Lepisosteus oculatus: one gene and its partner. The protein of the gene in region 1 interacts with the protein of each later gene in a pairwise test. Links are inferred from orthologs where the notes say so. Each region holds a gene or a part of one and is shown on either strand. Other genes may lie near its edges.

Region 1 (10,190 bases):
GAGCTTTCCCTGCCCTCGCGGGACGACACACCCCCCAACTTCCCAGGAGCTGGAAATGACGTCGCGAACTCTAACTTGCCGCGACTCAGACAGATGGAATAAAACATCCGGGAATCTAAAAAAAGCTGAAGTGCATCAACGTACCGATTAAGCCAAAAGCAGACAGGGAGCTCAATTCGCTCACCTGGGGCTGATCTCTTTGGTCACGTCAGCAAGGTCGTCCAGCTGAGCGATGTTCTCGGGCGTGTCCACCTTCCCATGAGCCTTCACTGCCGCAGACAGCTTCTTCAGGCACGCCTTGGAGGCCTTCATCAGGCCCTGGCAGGGGGCCAGCAGCTGCCTGTCCTCTTCGGACCAGTATGTGTCCTGGTTTCCCCGGGAGTCCAGCTCTTCGTCGTCCAGAACATCACTGAATGGATCCAGATTGTCCGCCTGGGCCTGGAGCAGGGAGAAGGGAGAAGATCTCTCAGGTTAATGGAGAGAAAGACAAGGGGGATACCAGACAGCTACTGACAATACTAGTTTAGCCGTCTCCCTTTCCCAGTGACAGCATGAGTGTCAGGAAAATATGTGGGTTAGAATCTCTCAGCGCCACTGTCACCTAACGGTGCAAACCCTCCATCTCGACAAGCACCTGTTCCATTTCCTCTATGGCATCCTTGACCACACCAGCGGAGGAGGACATCACCAACAGGACAGCTGCCTGGTTGTCTGCACGGAAAATTGAAAATGGAACAAAACTCACTGGTGTGCCCAAAACGCTGGGAACATCTGCAGAAAAAGAAAAAACACCTCTTACACAGTCACCCCTCCCCCCCCCCACCCAGTGTGGATGTGAATGCAGCAGACTGTAGCACCGCAGCACAGGCCCAAACTGATTCACAGGCAGCACTGACGCTTCGCATACCTGCAACACAGCAAACCGTTCAGGTGCTGAAATCAAAGTCTTTAGTCGAAGTCCATCGGTAAAAGAAATATTTTTCAAATAATGAACTGAACGTCTGCACGCACTCCCTGACACACTGGTCCCCATTTCTGGCTCCTGACCATCTCCTGACCCGCTTCTCTTTTTAAGGCTTGGACAGAGAAGACTGACAGGGTTCCTGATCCATGCGTCCCCAGTCAAGCCAATGAACGTCTTTAGCATCAGCAGCGTTAACGCGAGCCAGAGGTCACTGGAAACTAGCTGGACGTTTCAAGTGAGAACAGGGGGTAGAGGGGTTGTGAAAGAGCTCCCCAGACACGCTGTTACCCTGCCTGGCTGGATGAGCCCCCCGCATTAATTAACTGCTAACTGCTGAGCTGGCCCAGCTGCGGAGTGCGGAGGAGGGACAAAGTGGGGCGACTCACCTCTGGGCAGGTGTGCGACCTGGTCACACGATGACCACACCCCGCCCGTGGAGGTCAGCTGCTCCTGGGACAGGCTGTGGAGAGGCGGGGGGGAACAGGGAGGGACAGGGAGTCAGGTCCGCGTCACCACTTCCGTTTAAAAAAAAAACAACTGAATTCCGAAACGTCGGCGCGAGGGGTGACCTCTGCAGGGGGGAGCTCAGGATGATCTCGACCAGCTGTGCCACGCCCTCCAGCGCCTCCGCGGCGGCATTGCGGACGGTCCGGCGCAGAGTGACCCCTGGGGAGAGAGCGCCGGGTCACACCGAGAGCCGCGCGGGCGCGACGCACACGCAGCCCGCACTGAGGGCGACAGGGCTGTACCTTGGCTCTTGGGCAGCCAGTAGTAGACCGTGGCCAGAGACAGGGCGCTCTTCTGAACGCAGTCTGCCAGCATCTGGCAATCCTTGGAAGACAGACAGGAAAGCAAAGGATGAGAATAAGCAGGAAGGAAAGTATATGTAGTGTTCTTCACATGCATCACAAACACCAACATGACACCTAGTAACTGGAATCAAACCTGCATGTTTGTGTTCAATTAACAGCCGGCTTTTCTCCAACTTGAGGAGAGTAAAAATCTAGATCCACGATATTTTAGACAGATTACGGATTGTTTTACGCTCTTCATGCGCAGAAATTGCACTAGACACCCTTCAGATGCCACGGAGATAAAGGAGCTGCAAGCTGCAGGCCACCCGCGGGCCGAGCTGGAAACGGAGAGAAACAGGCTGCGGCCTACCTGGGCGCCGGGCAGGGGGGGCTTGGAGAAGGCAAGGCTCAGCTTCGTGGCTTCCTGAGACACCGCCTTGAAAGCCCGACCTGCGAACGCAGACCGAAAACTCAAACCCTCTCCGCGTCACAGACACCGACCGGCCCCAGGGATAAAAATCTGGCGTTAAAAAATCTAAAATGGGCCCCCCATTCTGCTACAGCCTTCCTGTGGAATCAGGACAGGGAAAGGAAAAACATAAAAAATACTCAGCCTAAAGTGTCCCAGAAATGCTGAAGGTTAAACTCTTCATTCGACTCCTTAGACTCGCCATCTAGAAACAGACAGAGAGATGGGTCAATTAGCCGAATGGCTGCACTGACTAATTAACCCCACTAAGCACAGCAGAAAGTCCCACTGCGTGCAAACTGACAAGCCTTGAGGTCCAGGCTACATGAAACCACCTGAGTGTTAAATAATCCTGCTTTCTCAGCTCTCCCCTAACTGGCTCGTTAGTGAAACGATCCGAAGGCACTCTTCCCACGGGCATCATCATCATCATCCCACGTGACACGTTCCCCTCTCTCTGCATGGATCTGGAATCCTCCGAGTGCTGTGCCACATGATGGCCGTCATGCCAGCAGGAAATTCAGCACAAACCAGTTCGTCTTTAGAGCAGCTGGGGACCGTCTCGGCCAGCTGCCCAACAGGTTACACCCCCAACTCACACTGACAGTTTCAGGCTGGTTTCAGGTCAAGGGGCCACAACTGACAGGGTGCACAGTGTGGTCAGGGGGAAACCCTGTCATCATTACCCCACTTCATGCTTGAAAACAGTTTGTGTGACAATTTGTAGGAAGGGCTCTTTTTGGAAACTGGGGTGCCTCACTTTTAGCTCTCGAGAAGTTTCCAGGACCCCCAAGGATACTACTTGAGTAAACCTAATCTCGCTCTACAAATTTGCCCTGGATCGATCATGTGTACAGCCTGCAAATCGGAGAAAATACGATAACACTCGATCATTTTTTCTTTCTATTATTATAAACTGACCACTTCTTATTTCACAGACAAATGACTATCACGTCGGCTGTTCCTTTACACTGTATTAAAAGGTGACACGCTTTTTTTAAGTCCGCTAAATCGGGATAAAATAAAAAGGCATAAAAGAAAGTAAGAGAAAAATTAACCTAATGGAAATTCACGTGTAATGAATTTTGTGGATGCCATTTAAAGCATTAGAATTATTTTATAAGTCTTAGTCGTTTAAATATCGTAAGCTGTAACGATCCAGCTATTCGCTACGTTTCACTAAAACGTGTACAAAACATCGGGCGTCTCCCCCTCAAAAGGCTTTTGCTACAGATAAACACGCTGCTCGATTTGAGGGTGGCGAGGCGAGCCTCAATTATCTGAGTTACATGAACTTTTTCTGTGCCCAGATCTCCCTTCGCAATGCAGTGATGAACAGACCGCCCTCTGCCGACGAGACACACTCCGTCATGTGCGAGTGAAAACCGAGAAAAGAGACGATGGCATTAACCCAAAGGACCTTCCTCTAAACGATCGTGGCAAAGATGCAGTTCTTCGTTCATGAACCGCTCGCAAATGAATCGGCTTGCGCCTTTCTTCGGGTTCAAACGTGCCATTACCAAGCGGGCCTGCTGTACTCAACACATCTCCATGCCAACACTACTTCTGGGCGATATCCCAGTATGACAAACAAATAAACAAGGTTCCCCTACCTCTCACTCGCTCCCGGATGCACTGCACCGAGTTAAGGAGATTTTTCAAAGGCACCAAGACGTCCGGACTCGAATTGTCTGCGTTCATATCTCCGCGTCTTCAAGCCAGCTCACAGCACATTGCACTCCCGAGGAACTAAAGCAGCCCAGCCCACTGTTTACCCCCTAGATTCGATTATTGAAGGAGTCGGGACGTCACTTCCTACCGGAAGACAATTAGGGTGACACCACGCAAGTCTCCGCGCCATCTTGGTGAAGGAGACTCTGTGTAACTTATCGGTTGTTGCCAATAAAGCTCTTTGAATTTGAAAAACCGTCCAGCGGCCGTGGCCGAGTCTAAATTAGTGTATCAAGACAGGAAAAAAATCACTAGGTGGCGCTCTCGGATCTGATTTAAAAAGTTGTGTTTAAGTTACAGTGCAAATCCGCGTTTTTCATTACAAAGTTACTGAAAACATTGGGGACGTTTATTTTATATGATAAATAACAAGCAATGTAAACAAACCAAAGATTGAAGTTGTTCAAAATTAACTTTAATTTTAACACAATCAATACGGTATACGAACACTTGAACACCGCAGTTTCAGAGCCGGGACAGGGAAACAGCAGGGACAACAGCAAGTGATAGGGCTTGGAGGGACTCTTTCACTGTGCAAATCCAGCCCCATCCTCCACTTGCACTGATTGATTGATAAAGGACAAGCGCCTTCTTTTAGAACAGATGTAATATTGTAGAAATTGCAAGACTTTGCATGAGTGTGTACTTATCGTGAGATGTTTATTGTGAAATAAAGTTTATTTGATAGAAGATATAATAGATATATAATAGATAATATAATAGATATAATAGGTACTGTACGTGGTGCACAATGAATATATTGTATGAAATCTTTCACTGAGTGAGTCAAAATGTATTTATTCCAACCTGGATAACCCATACAACCTACAGGATAAAACTTTATAACAGAGAAATTAAAGTCTTACTGATTTTTTGTTTGTTTGTTTGTTTGTTTGTTTGTTTAAAACACGGTGCTGTTCATCAATACCTAAACCTCTGTATCTGAAGTTCTTGAAAAAAACAAAGCAAGTTAAAACGGGACCTGAAATGCTGTCTGTTGTGTGTAGTGAAGTATTTTATTATATGTGGTTTATCTGAAGGCAACAGGATATTGCTTGGTGTCTGATTAGCTGTGGTTTAGTACATTAACCCAGGAGGCTGTGATTTCACCAGGCCTTATCACATTTTCACTCTGTGGTACACCCTGGTCCCTGGCATGGGGCACACTTTGCCCCTCAGCTAAAGGGCCTGTCACCCCCTGCCCCCCCAGCCAGCTGCTGGCCACGTGCTGCTACGTGTGGAGCAGCTGCACAAACACCACCGCGTCAGGCTCACCAGCACAACAGGGCTGTTTTGGCACTTGGCGGCAGCACGCTAGGAATTAACAAGGGAGGTTAATTTTTAATATTAAAAATGACTCTCCTGTGGACTGGGTGCCCGGGCTGGGCTGTGTTCCCACACGGCACAGCCTGCAGTCGCACACCTCCTGCTTTACTGAAGGTAGAAGTGAGCAGGGCAAAGAAACACAGCTGATACTCCCCCAGAGAGCCCGGATACAGGACGTTTTGCAGGTCATCAAACGGATTATTTCTGATGACCAGGAAATATCACGTTGCAAAAGATCTCTAATTTATTTTACGAATTCTTAAAAGATAAGGGTGAATTGTTCTAGGTCTTTAGAACCATGCAATTTAATTGTGATCTATAAATGCTAAAACCAAATTAAAACCGAACACTCCTTGTTCATAAAAATATTTTATCCATTTGTATATCATCCATAGTATGCATTCCATTACAATTTCCAAGCACTAAGAACATTACAGCATCTGGATTTCTGGTTGTAGACCTCGTGTTCGTCAAAGACTTAGCAGTCAAATATCGAACCTGGATTATTATGTTGGACCACAAAATAATTTAATTTATATGCACAGTAATAACTGTGAAAGTAATCCACTTCAGATTCGATACTTTCTTGTACTGGGACAGCCGCTGGATTGGGTTTGTAAAAATACATAAATGTTCTTTGCTTTTTTATTACTGGAGCAGGGAACATCAGACTTTAGCCTTTGACTTCAATGGAGAGATCGGTAGATGTGAATTCATAGGTTTTTGCATCTGTAAACAGAGAGGATAGAAGTGCATCAATAAGTCACAAACGTCAGAGCTGTCCTTGCCTCACTGAGCCTGCGCTGGCAGCATGCCAGCTGTTATTAATTAAGGGGATGTGTCAACATCCTTGAGGTTGGGAAGAAACAGGAAAACATGTTTTCCTCCTCTCTTCCAGTTCCACCACTCTCTCTGCGGTGCACGACAACAAGTGTATTTGTGTATTTGTGAGAGAACGTCTCGTCTGAACCCACTGGGGTCCACAAGGACTTTGCTCAAGATGCCTACGTATCATTAACCCTTTCTTTGGCATCCTTAGGCTTATACATCCAATGTTGTCTAGTTTTAGTGTTGATCCTTAAAAAGTTAAAGAATAAAAGTGGCTGAGCGACGTGGCTATTTTATTAATTCAGACTGAGCCAACTTGTTGATCAGTCGTGCGCTCACTCCTGTAACAGTAAGCACAGGCATGCACAGCGGCCATTCTGCACCAGCAGCCCCACCTGGGAGACACACAGGGGCCATTCTGCACCAGCAGCCCCACCTGGGAGATACACAGGGGCCATTCTGCACCAGCAGCCCCACCAGGGAGACACACAGACACCATTCTGCACCAGCAGCCCCACCTGGGAGACACACAGCGACCATTCTGCACCAGCAGCCCCACCTGGGAGGCACACAGGGGCCATTCTGCACCAGTGGCCCCGCCTGGGAGACACACAGTGATCATTCTGCACCAGTGGCCCCGCCTGGGAGACACACGGTGATCATTCTGCACCAGCGGCCCCACTGCACAGTGGATCAGGGTGAGATGTGAGAAACTGCTGCACCAGCTGAGTGAAGGAGGACCTTCTGGGAGGCCAAAGTGAAATTTAATGGGACATCAGGGTAACACCCCCACACTAACAAACAGTTATCATGGAATCCTTATTGACCAAATAAACTGCCTTCTTCCATACTGAATAGCGAATATTTGATGTTATGTATGTCTGCATTCAATTTTAATTTGCCAGGTGTCTGCCCAGTCCTGAAAACTATCTAAGGCTTTCTGTAATTGGTCTTTTATATCTATAGTGTGTAATTCCTGAAAGCCCTGTAGTTATATTTTGGTGGCAACGTGTCCACAGCTTGTCTACAGCAAGATGTCCAGTAATTGGTTCTCTACTGAACACTCTGGACTATTACTTCAATGTCTTCCACAATGGGGTTTAATGATTGTCTGTCTTATACCACATAGATGGTTACTCAGTATAGTCACCAGAATCACACAGATTTATAACGTGTTGCATAACTTCACCCCTGTACCCTTACAAACAATGAATCTGATTGTCTCGGTAGTACAGGGAGTCCCATCAGAATGAGCAGTACACCAGCGGCCATCTTGACAAGCCCTTCTGCGTCGGGCTCAGCAGTCTACAAACACCAAAGGAGAAGCGAAAACAGATAGCTGTGCACCGTATTTATTGAATAAAGCATTATGGAAACTTCCGCCACTTTCGTTCGTGTTTCCCTTTAATGTTTTTTTTCTCTCTTGTCTTAAGTTGAAAAACCTTTTTTCCCACCTTCTGCACAGTCTCTATGTGGGTCCAAACCTTATATCCGCAGCTGTGCCGAAGTCTTCGAGATCCCGCCCTTCTCCCGCGTGAAGACCAGCTCTTCAGTCATATTCCTCTGACTTTCTGGGCGTCTTGTTTTAAGACTGCTGGTTACATCGTGCCGAATTGTCTGTCGGGCAGGTTTTCAGAAAACGATTCCAGCCTCTCTCAGGATTTTGTAACTCCCCTCCTCCTTTTCTTTGTGCGAGAAAACACCGTGAAAACCGCCACCAGCTCTTACTGCGTTCGGCTCCCCATCCACACGCCCCAGAAACACAGCGCCTCCGGGATCATAATCCGTTCATCCATTCACCCATTCATCCAGTACATTTCTGACCACTCTCTCCGATACCGGGTCGCAGGGGAGCCGGGCTCCTGTACGATTCAGTATCCCCTGGGTCAGACACCGGGACCCATCTTACTTATAAATATTTCTAAAACATTTCCTTCAGTATTTTAACACATGACGTGCAGATCAAGTGTCTAGAATCGTTTCCGGAGAGTGAGAATCGTGTATTTTTTAAGAACATAATTTAAAGCCAGCGGTGGCGCTCAGAGTCGCTGTGCAGTTGGGTTCGGACGGGTCTGTCCCGGCTACCCAGTGCCGGACGCTCCTGCAGCCGGGTCTGTGCCGGAGATGCCCGGTGTGAATTCCGCCCCCAGCTGATGAGAAATGCGCGTTCAAAGCGCAGCGAGAGGAGGACAGGAGTGTGACTCGGGACTGCGGTACCCCTACTTCAGCTTTATTTGATCGTTTTTAAACGACATTGAAGGTTCCTGGAGGCATCTCTTACTCCTTATCCTGGATTTGGCGACTCCAGTGTCTGTTTTTCCATCTGGACTTTGAACGGTTTGATTTAGCCCTTATTTGAAGCAATACTCTGATTAAACTGACTATTCATTTGATCATTTTATTTATTTTTGCTCCTGAACAGAATACGACTTCGAGGAGCGAATCCTAAACTTAACGTTTAGCTATGCGGTTAAATTATTAGTTGAATCCGGGTTTAATTCAAGAGGGAAGAGTTCGCCTGGAAGAAAATGGATCAGAAATTCAGGCTCAGAGGGACCTGGAGTAGATTAACCGGCCCTAGAAACTCCCGTGCAGCTGCGAGCTCAGCTCTACCAGCCAGGACTCCCGGCTTCCGCCACTGTCACATCTTGGACGAGCCTCCGCGGCCCCTGACCAATCACAGCCTGCGATTCGCACTAAGGTGTCAAGACAACAGCCAATCAGGTTTTAGTATCTGCCGCAAGAGATACGTCATTCATCGACGAGATGGAGCCGAACAGGTCTGGAAGCTGTCTTGCATCACGGGCGATCTGGGGCAGAGTTGAACTTTAACGTGAACCGCATGGAGCAACTGCTAGCAATAACCTGGAATACTGCCAGATGTGATCTCTTTTTTTATTTTTTTCGACTCAGTATCTCGGAGAAAAAGAACAAAACAAGAACATGATGCCGGGTTGAATAATTAACCTTAGGGACGTGTTTTCCCGATGTTTAATTATTCATTTCGGTGTGTTCTTATCGGGGGGGCAGGTGGTTTGTAGGTTCTGGGTTTATGCTAATCCCATCTGAAGTTCGCCCCCCCCCACCCCGGCTGACACACTATAAATGAGCAGGACTGTCCAGCTGTGGTCAAACAGGAGCTGAGGCATCCCACACCGAGACCGTGTCCCAGAGACATCTGCAGAGACAGCTCACTCCATCCACCTGATTCGCTTTTTTTAAAAGGATCTTGGTAAGATATTAGACTATTCATTATCTCATATTTTCTCTGCTTTACATTCACTTTAAAATAAGTGTCAAGTTAAGATTTGCATTGATTTTAAAATACATTTGAGCATCGTCTTCTCTGTAATGCATAATGACGTGACGAACCAGGTGTTAGAAGGTCTCTGCTTTTAATAGTAAAAACCGTTTTGTCGTGGCGAGTTCAGATAGAGTCGCACTGGTGCCGGGGTGACTACCTGCAGACTACCGGCTGTGAGCTCTCAGGTACAGGGCAGCTGTATCAGAAATACCAGCTCACCTGGCTCCGGCGGGCAGGGGCATCTCCAGCAGACTCGGGCTGGGGCTAGACTGAATTCACTCAAACTCTTGAGAATTTAGGGGCCTTCTTACCAGAAGTGAGTGAAAACGTCATTGTTTTTGTAAATGCCTTTTTTTTAATAGGAGATGATTTCCAACCCGTTAACCGTTGGTTAAGTGAGTTCGATTATTATAAATGTACTGTCCCGTCCCGTTAATTTTATTTTTCCCCGAGACGGATATTCCGGATTCGTGTGTCAAACAGGTTTTGCGCTGGTTTCCTTGTGATCCATCTGTCCGCTCTGTAGTAGTCTGTATGGGTTAGATGGGCACTGGACCACCGACCCCAGGGCGGACAGGATACTAGCAATAATACAATAACAAGCATTGTAAACCCCAATACTGTACAATAGGCGAAAGTCTGGAATAAACGTGAGTACAAACACTGTAGGAAAAAAGCGATTAAACGAGTTCAGCTTTGTATTCTCAGTCGATATCTTAATAGGTCGGGTACAGTTTTAAACACGAATTTCATGAATGTGAGCTGTATTGTACA
Region 2 (10,671 bases), on another chromosome or scaffold:
AGAGACCACATTTTCAGCTGAACACTGAGTCAGTCAGCACAGCCCAACACTGTGGACCAAGGCACAGTAACTGCTTAACACTGTGTGAAACAACACATGGCTTCTAGCTCTGCCTCTGTGCTCTGCTAACAAGCAGCACTGACCTCCACTTGCCCCAAGCCATATCTAATAAAGAGTATGCATCAATGAGTGTCCACTGTTTCAGCAACTGAAAACAATGGGAAAAAAAAAACACATTAAATGATCCACAATCATTATCTTACCATTCTTCCCGCTGTTTTTCATAGCTTTCCATGTCAGGCTTAATCTGCTTGGTGAGTCTTTGATACTGCCGCAGCTGTGCTTCAGCATAACCTGCAGGATCAATGAAAACTTCAGAATCATAGCGTTTGGTCAAATAGGCCATTTAATGACTGAAAGAAATGAGACGCAGATATAAAAAAGCAACAAAAGCTGCATCTCATTAAAAGGGGGAGAAAATTTAGTGCGACCCCAGTACAAGAATTTTCCACATTTAATTCCAAAGTGTTCTGATGCAACACATGGTTGCCATATTTATAAAATCACAACCATGGTAGCACATTCTACAGCAGTCAATTAAAAATGATTTATCAGAACAGCTTTACATGGATCAAGATGTAACAGGAAACTGTGATGCATCCCTGCCTTTGTGTCTAAATCTGAATTATAAATTCAATCGTGACTCCTTAGTTTAATGTTTTGCATTCCTCATTCATGCAGTAACAACACTGTAGCATGACAAGCCTCCAGCTTTGTTTCTGTATTTTAATTGTACTGCAAAGCTGTAGGCTGGAATGTCATGTTTTAAGAGGGTTTAGAACTGTGAACATAATACACAACCCAGTTAATGTAGCTGAAAAGCTTACTGAGCAAATGGCAGTTGTGTAAAGTCACACCGAGCTCTCATATTAAGATATGACACCGACTTACACAGATCACACCTTACTCCAAAAAGATTATACCTGTACAGAAATGACTGTGCTTCTTAAGCTCAAATTTATGAACCATGCTGACAACTTCTTACTTTTTTTTTTTGAGATGGGAGTGTTATCACCTTCAACCTTGGGAGCTAATATTAGGAAAACTATGCAATGCCCTTCAAGAAGACCATAAATATAACTGTTATATTCTGTTTTAGGTTGCACTACAGATTTAATTTTTTCCAACTACAGAATTGGTAGCTTTCTTAAATTATCTGTGGTGGCCACCAGGAGGTGTGTCACATATAAATGGAATTATTCAGATTGTTATTTCTTTGTGGACTCAAGATAAGATATAAGTACCACAACGCTTTTGAGAACAGAAGATGTAAGAATTGATTTAGAAGCAGTACACATTTATTCAGACATAGGCAAATTTTTGTACTATCTTCTTGAAAGGTAAGGTTCTGAAAATATAAAAAGACAAGAGTGCAGTTTGTTTTTAATTTTTGTTGAATTGCCAAATAGCTCTGACAACTCAAACTGTTAACTTCATTTTTTATGTTACAAATCCAACCAGAAAAAAAAATGCCATGAAATGTTGGGATCAATGAGCTAATGACTATGACATGAGCAAGATGCGGTGAATGGGCTCTTTATGTTGGAAACCTACGCAGTCTTATGAAAGTTAGGTATGAAAGGTAGGCTCCACCTAAGGACAGAATTTCGAAAGCAGGCGAGTGCTGCAGAAGGGCGGGCATGTGTCTGGTAGGACAATAACAGCACTAAATCACACACCCGAGAAGCCTGGATCTGGATTCTTCTTCTTCTTTTTTCTTTCCCATCTTTCTGCATCGTCGGCACTGATCTCCAACAGCTTAGCTCTCTCAAAGTCCTCTCCTCTTGCTGCACATTCCTGAAAATGACATTTTTTTCCAATTTCAAAAATCGGCGCTGGGATAACCCGAACGCCTCGTCCTCCACGTTAACAATGCTTGTCGTCATCATCAAGTCCAACGAGCTCCTATTCCATTCGGGGTCACGGTGGCTTGAAGCCTATCCTGGGAATCACTGAAGGCAAGGCAGCACAGGATGTCAGTCCACTCACACGAGGGCCAATTTCACAGAAGCCAATTAACCTATGAGCATGTCTGTGGACTGCGGGTGGACCCACATGAGCATGGGGAGGACAGACAGCACGCATGGAAGTGAAGCCAGGGCCCCCGAGCTGAGGGGCAGGCATGTTAATCACCACCCCACCATGTCTCCTAATAACGTTTGCATATTTCTTCCACAGTGGCAAGGTGTTGAGGGAGTTAGTTCTTCACAGCTCATGGGTCCTGGGTCTGATTCCCTAGTGAAGTACTTTGTTTGAAGTGCACATTGTTCCCCCCCCCCCCACCCGAATGCTCAAACTTCCTCCCACCTTGCAAGGAATGCCGGCTAGGATAACCTGTTTCTATCCTGTGCCATCCCATTCAGGGCAAAGTTCTGGGATAGGCTCTGGGAGGCTAAGGATTACACAGCCTTCTTGAACGGCTGGAGATTTCGCCCCCCCCCATGATTTCAGTTAGAAATGTAACGATAAGTTAGAAGCACTGTGGTCCGGAATTAGCAGCACAACTTTGCAAACGTAGTCTTGACCTGAACATGTTCTGTAGTATCCCTGTCTTTGTGAGCACAATGTGCTTCTAGGAGTTTTATCCAGAGCCAAAGATTTTGCCCTTTTCTTTCACCCAAGCAAAAAATAAGGAAAGACATAAGCAAAAGGAGATCCCAGACTTGTATGTGCATACACATGCATGCACAGTTTCACATGCATCTCAGATGTGAATATTTCTATAGACATATAGAAATGTCTATAGAAATATAGACATATATGACCTATAGACATATATGACCTAAATTCTCAGTCTTCAAGAAGAATGGAGCCCATGCTCTAAACAGTGACGATTCTGCAGCCCTTCTGAGAGTCCTTTGGTTCAGTTACCTATTAGATCCATTCCAATATAAGCTCTTATAATACATTTAGTGACACCTGGATGCTAAGGGTCACACAACCAACTAAGAAGAGTTTTAGTTACCTTTTTCTTTTCATTCTCATTCAGTTCCCACTCCAGTCTGGCTTTCTTAGCCTCCCAGTTTGGAGGAAGTTTAAGCCTCTTGTCTTCTTCTACAACCTCCTGATGGTTGAGCTTGCGAGCTTCATTCTGTTTCAACATTATCATGATAATGCATGAGTTTTCACTGCAAATATTAACATTATATAACCCAGCATAATGGCCATTTCATGAAAGAGTAAAAGCTCAAGTTCGTAACAGTTCATTGTTTTATAAGTAACACACTGTAAAATCAGAGTAGATTCTAATACAATAATCACTTGCTTCATTCAGTATTTTATTTGCACTAGATGAGGGGTAATGAAAGGCCAGTTCGCAATGACCACAATGATTTTGATTTGTAACAACTCAATGAATGGTTTACCTACATGACAAAGGGTTGGAATTGGGCCATGTCTGCCCATGTCTGGCCTAGTGGCGGAGAATCGATATTACTTTTTAATGACGGGATGATGCCTCTGGTATAGCTACCATAGTTATTTAAATCAAGGTGCTGTACAATTTTGGTCCCCGCATTATAAAAAACAACATTGTTGCTCTTGAGTCAGTGCAGAGAAGAATAACCAGGTCCTGGCAGCAGAAACAGCTGAATAAGATTCCTGAAGCAATTAACCTTCAGCAACCATATTTGTTAGATTGGCATCCTCTCTTTCTTATGTCCCCATGTAATTTTATGATTTTTTTGTACAGACGAATAACAAAAGAGGATCACTTCTATTGTTCTCAGAGCTTTGTGCATTTTCCTCGTTCAAGCCATTCTGGGCTTGGCAGTTTCAACGCGTATTACAAATGAAACAAAGCTTCTGTATAACTCATGAGTCAAACACAGGGGGAACGAATATGAAACGATTTCTAACCCTCTTGAAGTGAAGCTCTCTGAACTTTCGCAGCCTGTCTTCTCTCTTCTGAGCTGCTGTGCTTTCTGAGGATTCCTCATTTGTGTCTGCAACAGCAACCTGGAACAAAATATTAAGCTGACTAAAAATGAGACCATTTTCACAAGACACGTGAAAGAACCGAGAACAGACAATCTATTTCAGAGGCTCCCAACTCCAGCACCTCAGAGCTGGGATCTCAGAATGTGCCCCATGTCTCCTTAAATTGGCAACAGCTGAAGGGTCTAGTGAAACGATCAAGTGGCCCATTTAAACCTTAATTAGTTAAATCACTGTGGCTGGAAGGTTGCTGGTTCGTATCCCGCGGCCGGCAGAGGAATTTTACTCTTTTTTAAAACTCATTTTGCCCTTAACCCCAACCGCTTCAGGGGTGCCATATAAATGGCTGACCCTGCGCTCTGACCCCAATCTTCTCTCCCTGCCTGTGTCTCATGGAGAGCAAGCTGGGGGTGTGTGAAAAGACAAATACTAGAAATTGTATATGGCCGATAAAGTGATCTTAACTAGTTGTTCACGTGTCTGAACCAAAAACCTAAATTGTCTTTTATAATTATGTACCTATAGAAAGCTGCGGTACAACCATTTCCAATTACTAGCCCACCCTGGGAGCCTGTTGCGGTTTTAAAGAAATACATGACTTTGTCGTTACAAAACCAAATAAAACATACAACAATCCGAAAATAGTTCAATCATACAATCACAAGCAGTGCATTAGAAGTACTTAAGTCTACACACTGGCTCCTCTGTAAAGGAACTCGTGGAAAAAAGGATATTAAAAACATCATTCCTAAAAGGTTTTTAAAGTTTCAAATAGTTACAAAAAGAAACCAGGCGTGTATTTCCCGTAATATATACTGTATAGGTTAAACAGCGTTGGACTACCGCTTAAGAATCACCATTTCCAAAGCCAGATAAGAAAGTTTCAAGATTGTCACAGTAGCTTGTGCGTTTTAAAAAACGAAAGTTCAAACAGAAAACTGGCAGTTCAGCGACAGAATCGAACATTTCAATAAGGTATTTTTCTGTTTACTAACCTCCATGCCCGACGCCATCTTGACGGAAGTGTCTGATGCAAAAGGAAGTGAGGTCATCTACCCGAGGGCCAGAGGGAGCTGTCATGTCTGTTGTCGTTTGTTTTTGTCGGTTTTTGTGTCGTAGTCATGCACGACAACGCAAATAAAATATTTCATTTCTGATGATTGTATATCTGTGTATTGGCAAAATGTCTACAGTTACCTAAAAGTTTTGTTACCGTATATGTTATTTTGGGCTAACTATGGGTGGGGGTTAAATTCATTTTAAAAAGTAATATATACGTAAATTAAAGCAGCGAAATAATTTACCCCCAACGTTACGTACGTATTCATTCCATCTGCTTTAAATATAGTAGAAGCATTTAACACACAATTTGGAAATACTAAGCAGTGCACAGTCAGTACATTATACAAAATATTTGTTTACGGGAAAGAATGAGCAGTTCTTGATATGATCAAACTTATTTTTTTAATCAGAAACTAAAAGCAAAATATGATAATACAGGTATCCTTGGAACATAGGACGTTTTTTTTCCCACAAAATTGCAAATTCCCTAAATTTGAGATGCCTGTCATATTAAGCAAATATGCTTTTTGGACTTCGTATTTTGCCACGGGGGGTTATATGATATGTTAGATAGGTATCGCAGGTTATTCATTCATCTCTGACGATGGTAACCAGAACAGCGAACCAGCTGTTTCGTCAATGCTAAGTTGAAACATTTGCATTATAGAAAAACAATTTTTTGGCACATCAAACGTCATAACACAAGTGGAAATGAGTAACTGGTTTCTTAAGTCTGAACTGCTGTTTGTAGTTATGCTCAGGTCTAAACTGCTCACCGGTTAATTTCTATTGCTTATCAATCTAATTAATTTAAACTATGTTTTTAAAAAGATAATGCTGTAATAAACCAAGATGCTTATTTCTGAAATGCTCTAAACTAGAACATACTGATCTTGACCCCATGAAATGGGTCACCAGTGAATGCCAGAGAATTCTTTTCCAGTGAAATTTCTACAAGGGAAGAAAATATTAATTTATAAGTGTCCTTAAATTGCTGCTGTGCTTGTAAAATGAAATTAGTTTATCCAATGCTGTTTTCCAACTGCCTTGACTGATTTAGATGTAATTAAAAATTAATAATTTTTAAAATATAACGGAAGTGCAGGTCAGCATCAATTTGGAAGTGATTAGTCACTGCAAGTGTAATTCTGATTTTCTGATGGAGGTACCAAAAAGCTATCAATAGCTTTTAAGTCAGCTAGTGAATCCCTTTCTTGTCTCCCTCAAGATCTGATAGATCCATCAGGTATTAGTGACTAAATGATGTTGTAGAATATTTTAGAGAGTACCCATGGGGAATATTTCAAGCAGATTGGTTGCCTGGGATTCATTCTAAACTCTCAGTGGGCATCAACTTCATTTAGAGGGAGTCAGAGCTATTTTCTGGGAAATTACATAAAAGGCAAGGAAAACACGAAAACAGTTTAAACCAGTTTAAACCTATAAATATCAGCTCAGACCTTAGAAACCAGTTGCTCATTTCCACTTGGGTTATGATGTGTGACATGACAAAAAAAACGTGTTTTTCTATACTGCAGAAGTTTTAAATTTTAGAATTTATCAGAAAAAAAGGCTAAACCATATGCAAACTACCCTAAATTAGGATAGCTCAATGAGGTCTGGTGTTTGATGTATATATTTTTTTTCTACTGAAAACATGTTTTGGAAGGAAAGTTAGGTGTTCGGCACAATTATCTCTCCCACCCAACCACCTAAAAAGTTTAAAGCAAAAAAGCACAGAATTCACGCTGAAACCACGAATCTCCTGTTCCAGGAGCACATTTACCAGCTATTTCCTCTTCCTGGTTTAAAACAAACTGGTGTCTTACTGATAATTAATGACAGTGTTAATGTTTTACAGAGGCATGCAGCTGAAGCTTTTTGGAGAATCTCATACTGTGCTGCACAACCTGAATATAGCACTTAATAGTCAGGCAGTGATCATATAATCAAGAGCAAAGAATGATTTTTATAGTAAATAATTAAAATTATAATGACATTTATATAACATTTTATAATAACACGCATACATAAAAAGGTAACATTTTCATCATATTCTGAAAGTTCAAAGAAAACCAATGGCAATAGCACTTCTATTAGCTGTTAATTAACACAAAGTCTATCCTGATCCCAACCTGTCCCATTAATTTACAGTCTAGATATTCTCTTTGGTTCAAGAAATTAAAAACTTGAGAAACCAAGGTGAAGTTAACTCAAAGTCAAAGCTGTTTCATTCACACTACATATTAAAAAAACGTACAGCTAAAAAAACAGCTTTAAACTAGCTAGTTTTAAAATCGTTTTTATATGCCATGTCAATACAGCTATTAATCTGTCTTATCAGTAGTATTTATTTCAGCTGAGGTGTGTACCTCAGCTATGAACTTAGCTGTTGCATGTTCTACAATTCTCTTTACAAGATAGAATTTCTCTGTCACACAAATAGCCATTCTGTACTTTTAGGTTCATCTTTTGAGTTTAGATTACTAATCAAATGTTTTTTTTTCATTTGATTGTGCTGCCTATTTATAATTCATAGCCATCTTTTTGGAAATAATTAAGAGTGCTGTCTTGTGGAGCTTACAGCCTGGAGATTAAAGAATACCAGGATCACAGGCGTTGTTAATGAGGTACTGATTTCCACCAAGTAACAGATGGAGAAACATGAAAGAAAACAAAAAATGGACAAAAAACAGTGATTCTCGATATTACAAAAGTGGAACAAAGATAAAAAAAAACAACACAGAAAACTTCATCAAAGTGAATGAGAGTCTGAATCTTTTTCAACAGGGAATTCAAGCTTCAGCAGCATTTGTCTTAATCATAAGAAAGTGATGGGGTCTCATCTCTCCCAGATGATAGCAGCTGGATCCCCAGTAGATTGATGAAGATGGCTCATTCCGTTCCATGTGTATTTAATACTCTGAAAGGGAAAGCTGCTTTGCTGAAACCAAGGAGTCATCAATCTTTTTTCTTCTTTGAGCAAGTTATGTAGCCATCGTAAAAGTAATCTATAACATGCACAGCTCTTCCTGTCTTCCCTGGGTGAGACACTGCAAAGGAGTAAAAAGGAGAATTGAACTGGGGGAGGCCGGAGTGGGAGAGTCGGAGGAAACTGTAGTGTAGCTACCATAGGACGATGGATGTGGCGGACTTCTGGTGAAACCCTAAAATAAACAGGGATGGAAAAGGTTTGCAAAATCTTATGCCATCAGTTTCAATGTCGAATGATTTTTTTCAACATTTCTCCTGTTTTCTTAGCCAGCTGTTTATACCTGGAATCCTGCTCATCTTCAGTCTATACTGGTTTGTAGAGCTGGGCCCAGAACACAGAGAAAGTATAGTGGAGGCAGTGTGAAGCAGAGAGGAGTGTAGCAAAGAAGGATGTAAATCATAGGAAATCATAGCAAAGTAAAGTCTTAATATTAGCATGGCCAAAATACATGAAAACTAAAAATACCGAGCAGACAAAAAAAATGACAAGGGATTGTTTTTTATTTGCCAGTTAGCTACTGTATAACAAAGTCTAAATATTGCTGTGTATAAGGGATCCTTTTCAGTTGATCATTTTGCTATTTCAGTTCTAGCTGAAAGACAGAACTCCAGGTTCTAGATATCGCTTTGCAGGTTTGCAGACACTTTTTGGCTAGCTGCCCATTTGCACCACCAGCAGAGCCTCAAATTCATAAAAATTCTGACTAGAAGACCCTCTGGCAAAACAGCTTGTTTTAGTCAATTAAATTAGTCAGACAAATTGGACACAGTGGGCCCGGACTAACCTGAGACTTTCAAGTTTTGATCTTAGCACCAGTATAATAAATTGAGATGATGCAAGAGGTTGACGTCAATCTTATTAATTGGTGAACCAGATCAGCTCCAATATTGGCCTTCAGATATTAAAGCCTGCTCGAGATAGTACATACTACATATAGTTTGCTCACACGCAATAATGCAGGTCTTCAAAATCGTCACATGCCTTAGAAGCCGCTGGTACTTATGTTTACATTTAAAATTTAATCAGTCAGAGCCTGTTTGCCTCCTGCAACATCCCACTTTTATCTCTCTCTCATGAAGTCCCGTTTGCAAAACCAGCACGTCAGTTAGCAGAACTCAACCAATGACACACCGGGCAAGGCGAGCTAGCTTCCAGCTGTATCACATCTGGCCGTTAATATAAACATCATGGCCTATAAAATCATGCCATTTCCTTAATTACTATTCCTGTCATTTCCGCCCTAAATGAAAAGTTATTCATTCCCGTCCAAAACAAACACACATCGCCAATCCTTTGCGGAGAGCCCGGGCAGAGGCTACAGTCAGCCATCCGCTTACTGCCATTGTGTGGAACAAATTCCACACTTACAGGAGAAAACCCAGTCTTTCCGAGTCAAAGCCCGAGATCTCCACATGAAAGTGGCACACCCTGAAAACGTGCCGCTTCTGGGGTGTGAATCCAGCCTTGCGAGCACTTCCGTTGCTCACTGCTGGTTTAATATAGATTTGGGTGATAATTGTCTGTCTGGTCTTCGCCCACGAGCTGCAGGGATTTCTCTTTTCTGGATCTTGGCTGCACAAGTCTCTTGCTTCACATCTTATGTTCGATTGGCTGTTTGTTTATTTGTTTTGCTGTCCACACCAAGCTATGTTAAGTACAGTACTGTACGTTCTCAATTATACAAGGTGTATGTGTGTGGGGGCTACTGCTCACCCAAACTCCATCTTTGCAGTGTTATAATCTGGACTCCGCCTGACTGTGACTTCATGAGATACAGCAGGCTGTTAGGACTGTCATCATTCTGTTGTAGAAGTCAGAAAACACAAGCTGCTCAAGTTTGCTCCACTATCCTGATTCACTGACTGGGATCAGATGGCCAGCCCTTCTAACATGTGACTTTATAAACATATCAGCTGGCGCCAGCACACACAAAAACTATTCATATTTCAAAATATATGAAATGCAAGGTAAGGGCTGCCAATGTGTGGAAAACAAGCATCTTTAAACAAGTAAGATAACTAAAAACGAGTGTAGTTATGATTTGCAAGTAAGTTGGGATATCCCTTGGTATTATCTTTTATTGAACAATCATATAACAGGAGACGCACATATATGAAAACAGATCTATGCACTCTAATGCCACAAGCCATGAATCTATGGCACAGACTGCAACACGGATAATTTAACTCACAATTAAGAGCCATTATGGGTTTCAAAGGACACCCCAACGATTTCTTTGGATGCCAATATGCATTTACAAACAGCTGTTTCTTGTATTATTTTCCAAAGGGAATCCAACTAATCTGTTATTTTATTATTATTAGTTTTTCAAATTAAAACAAGAGATTACACAGTGTTTTAAAATTACAGATTAAATTTATGATTAAAGTGAATGTAGGGCTTAAGGTTAATAAGAAACTGATTAACTGCATAAATGATGTGAGTCAACTTGCCCAGAGGTGAATTACAGTACTAAAACATAATGATTTTAATGCAAAGTTTTATTTTTTTGCTGTGTGGGTGGTTGGCCATCTTGTATGTGCTGAGTTACGCAGAAGTCAGAATTTCATTTCCATACCTGAATAGACACCAGAGGGAGCTAAATAATAATTTTTCCA

Evidence for each region.
Region 2: the proteins of ccndbp1 (region 1) and syf2 interact in binary tests that used the Homo sapiens proteins (3 or more experiments, as listed by UniProt). The link is inferred for Lepisosteus oculatus from reciprocal best matches to the Homo sapiens genes CCNDBP1 and SYF2.

What each region holds. Positions count from the first base shown.
Region 1 is NC_090711.1:1,705,231-1,715,420, reverse strand, and holds the start of ccndbp1 (cyclin-D1-binding protein 1 homolog), read right to left. Parts: upstream 4,013-10,190; 5' UTR 3,929-4,012; coding exon 3,841-3,928; intron 2,433-3,840; coding exon 2,373-2,432; intron 2,209-2,372; coding exon 2,129-2,208; intron 1,796-2,128; coding exon 1,714-1,795; intron 1,631-1,713; coding exon 1,534-1,630; intron 1,425-1,533; coding exon 1,351-1,424; intron 712-1,350; coding exon 635-711; intron 439-634; coding exon 185-438; intron 1-184. UniProt on the Homo sapiens protein: May negatively regulate cell cycle progression. May act at least in part via inhibition of the cyclin-D1/CDK4 complex, thereby preventing phosphorylation of RB1 and blocking E2F-dependent transcription.
Region 2 is NC_090706.1:3,908,125-3,918,795, forward strand, and holds the start of syf2 (pre-mRNA-splicing factor syf2), read right to left. Parts: upstream 5,071-10,671; 5' UTR 5,049-5,070; coding exon 4,992-5,048; intron 4,018-4,991; coding exon 3,919-4,017; intron 3,152-3,918; coding exon 3,026-3,151; intron 1,858-3,025; coding exon 1,740-1,857; intron 355-1,739; coding exon 264-354; intron 1-263. UniProt on the Homo sapiens protein: Involved in pre-mRNA splicing as component of the spliceosome.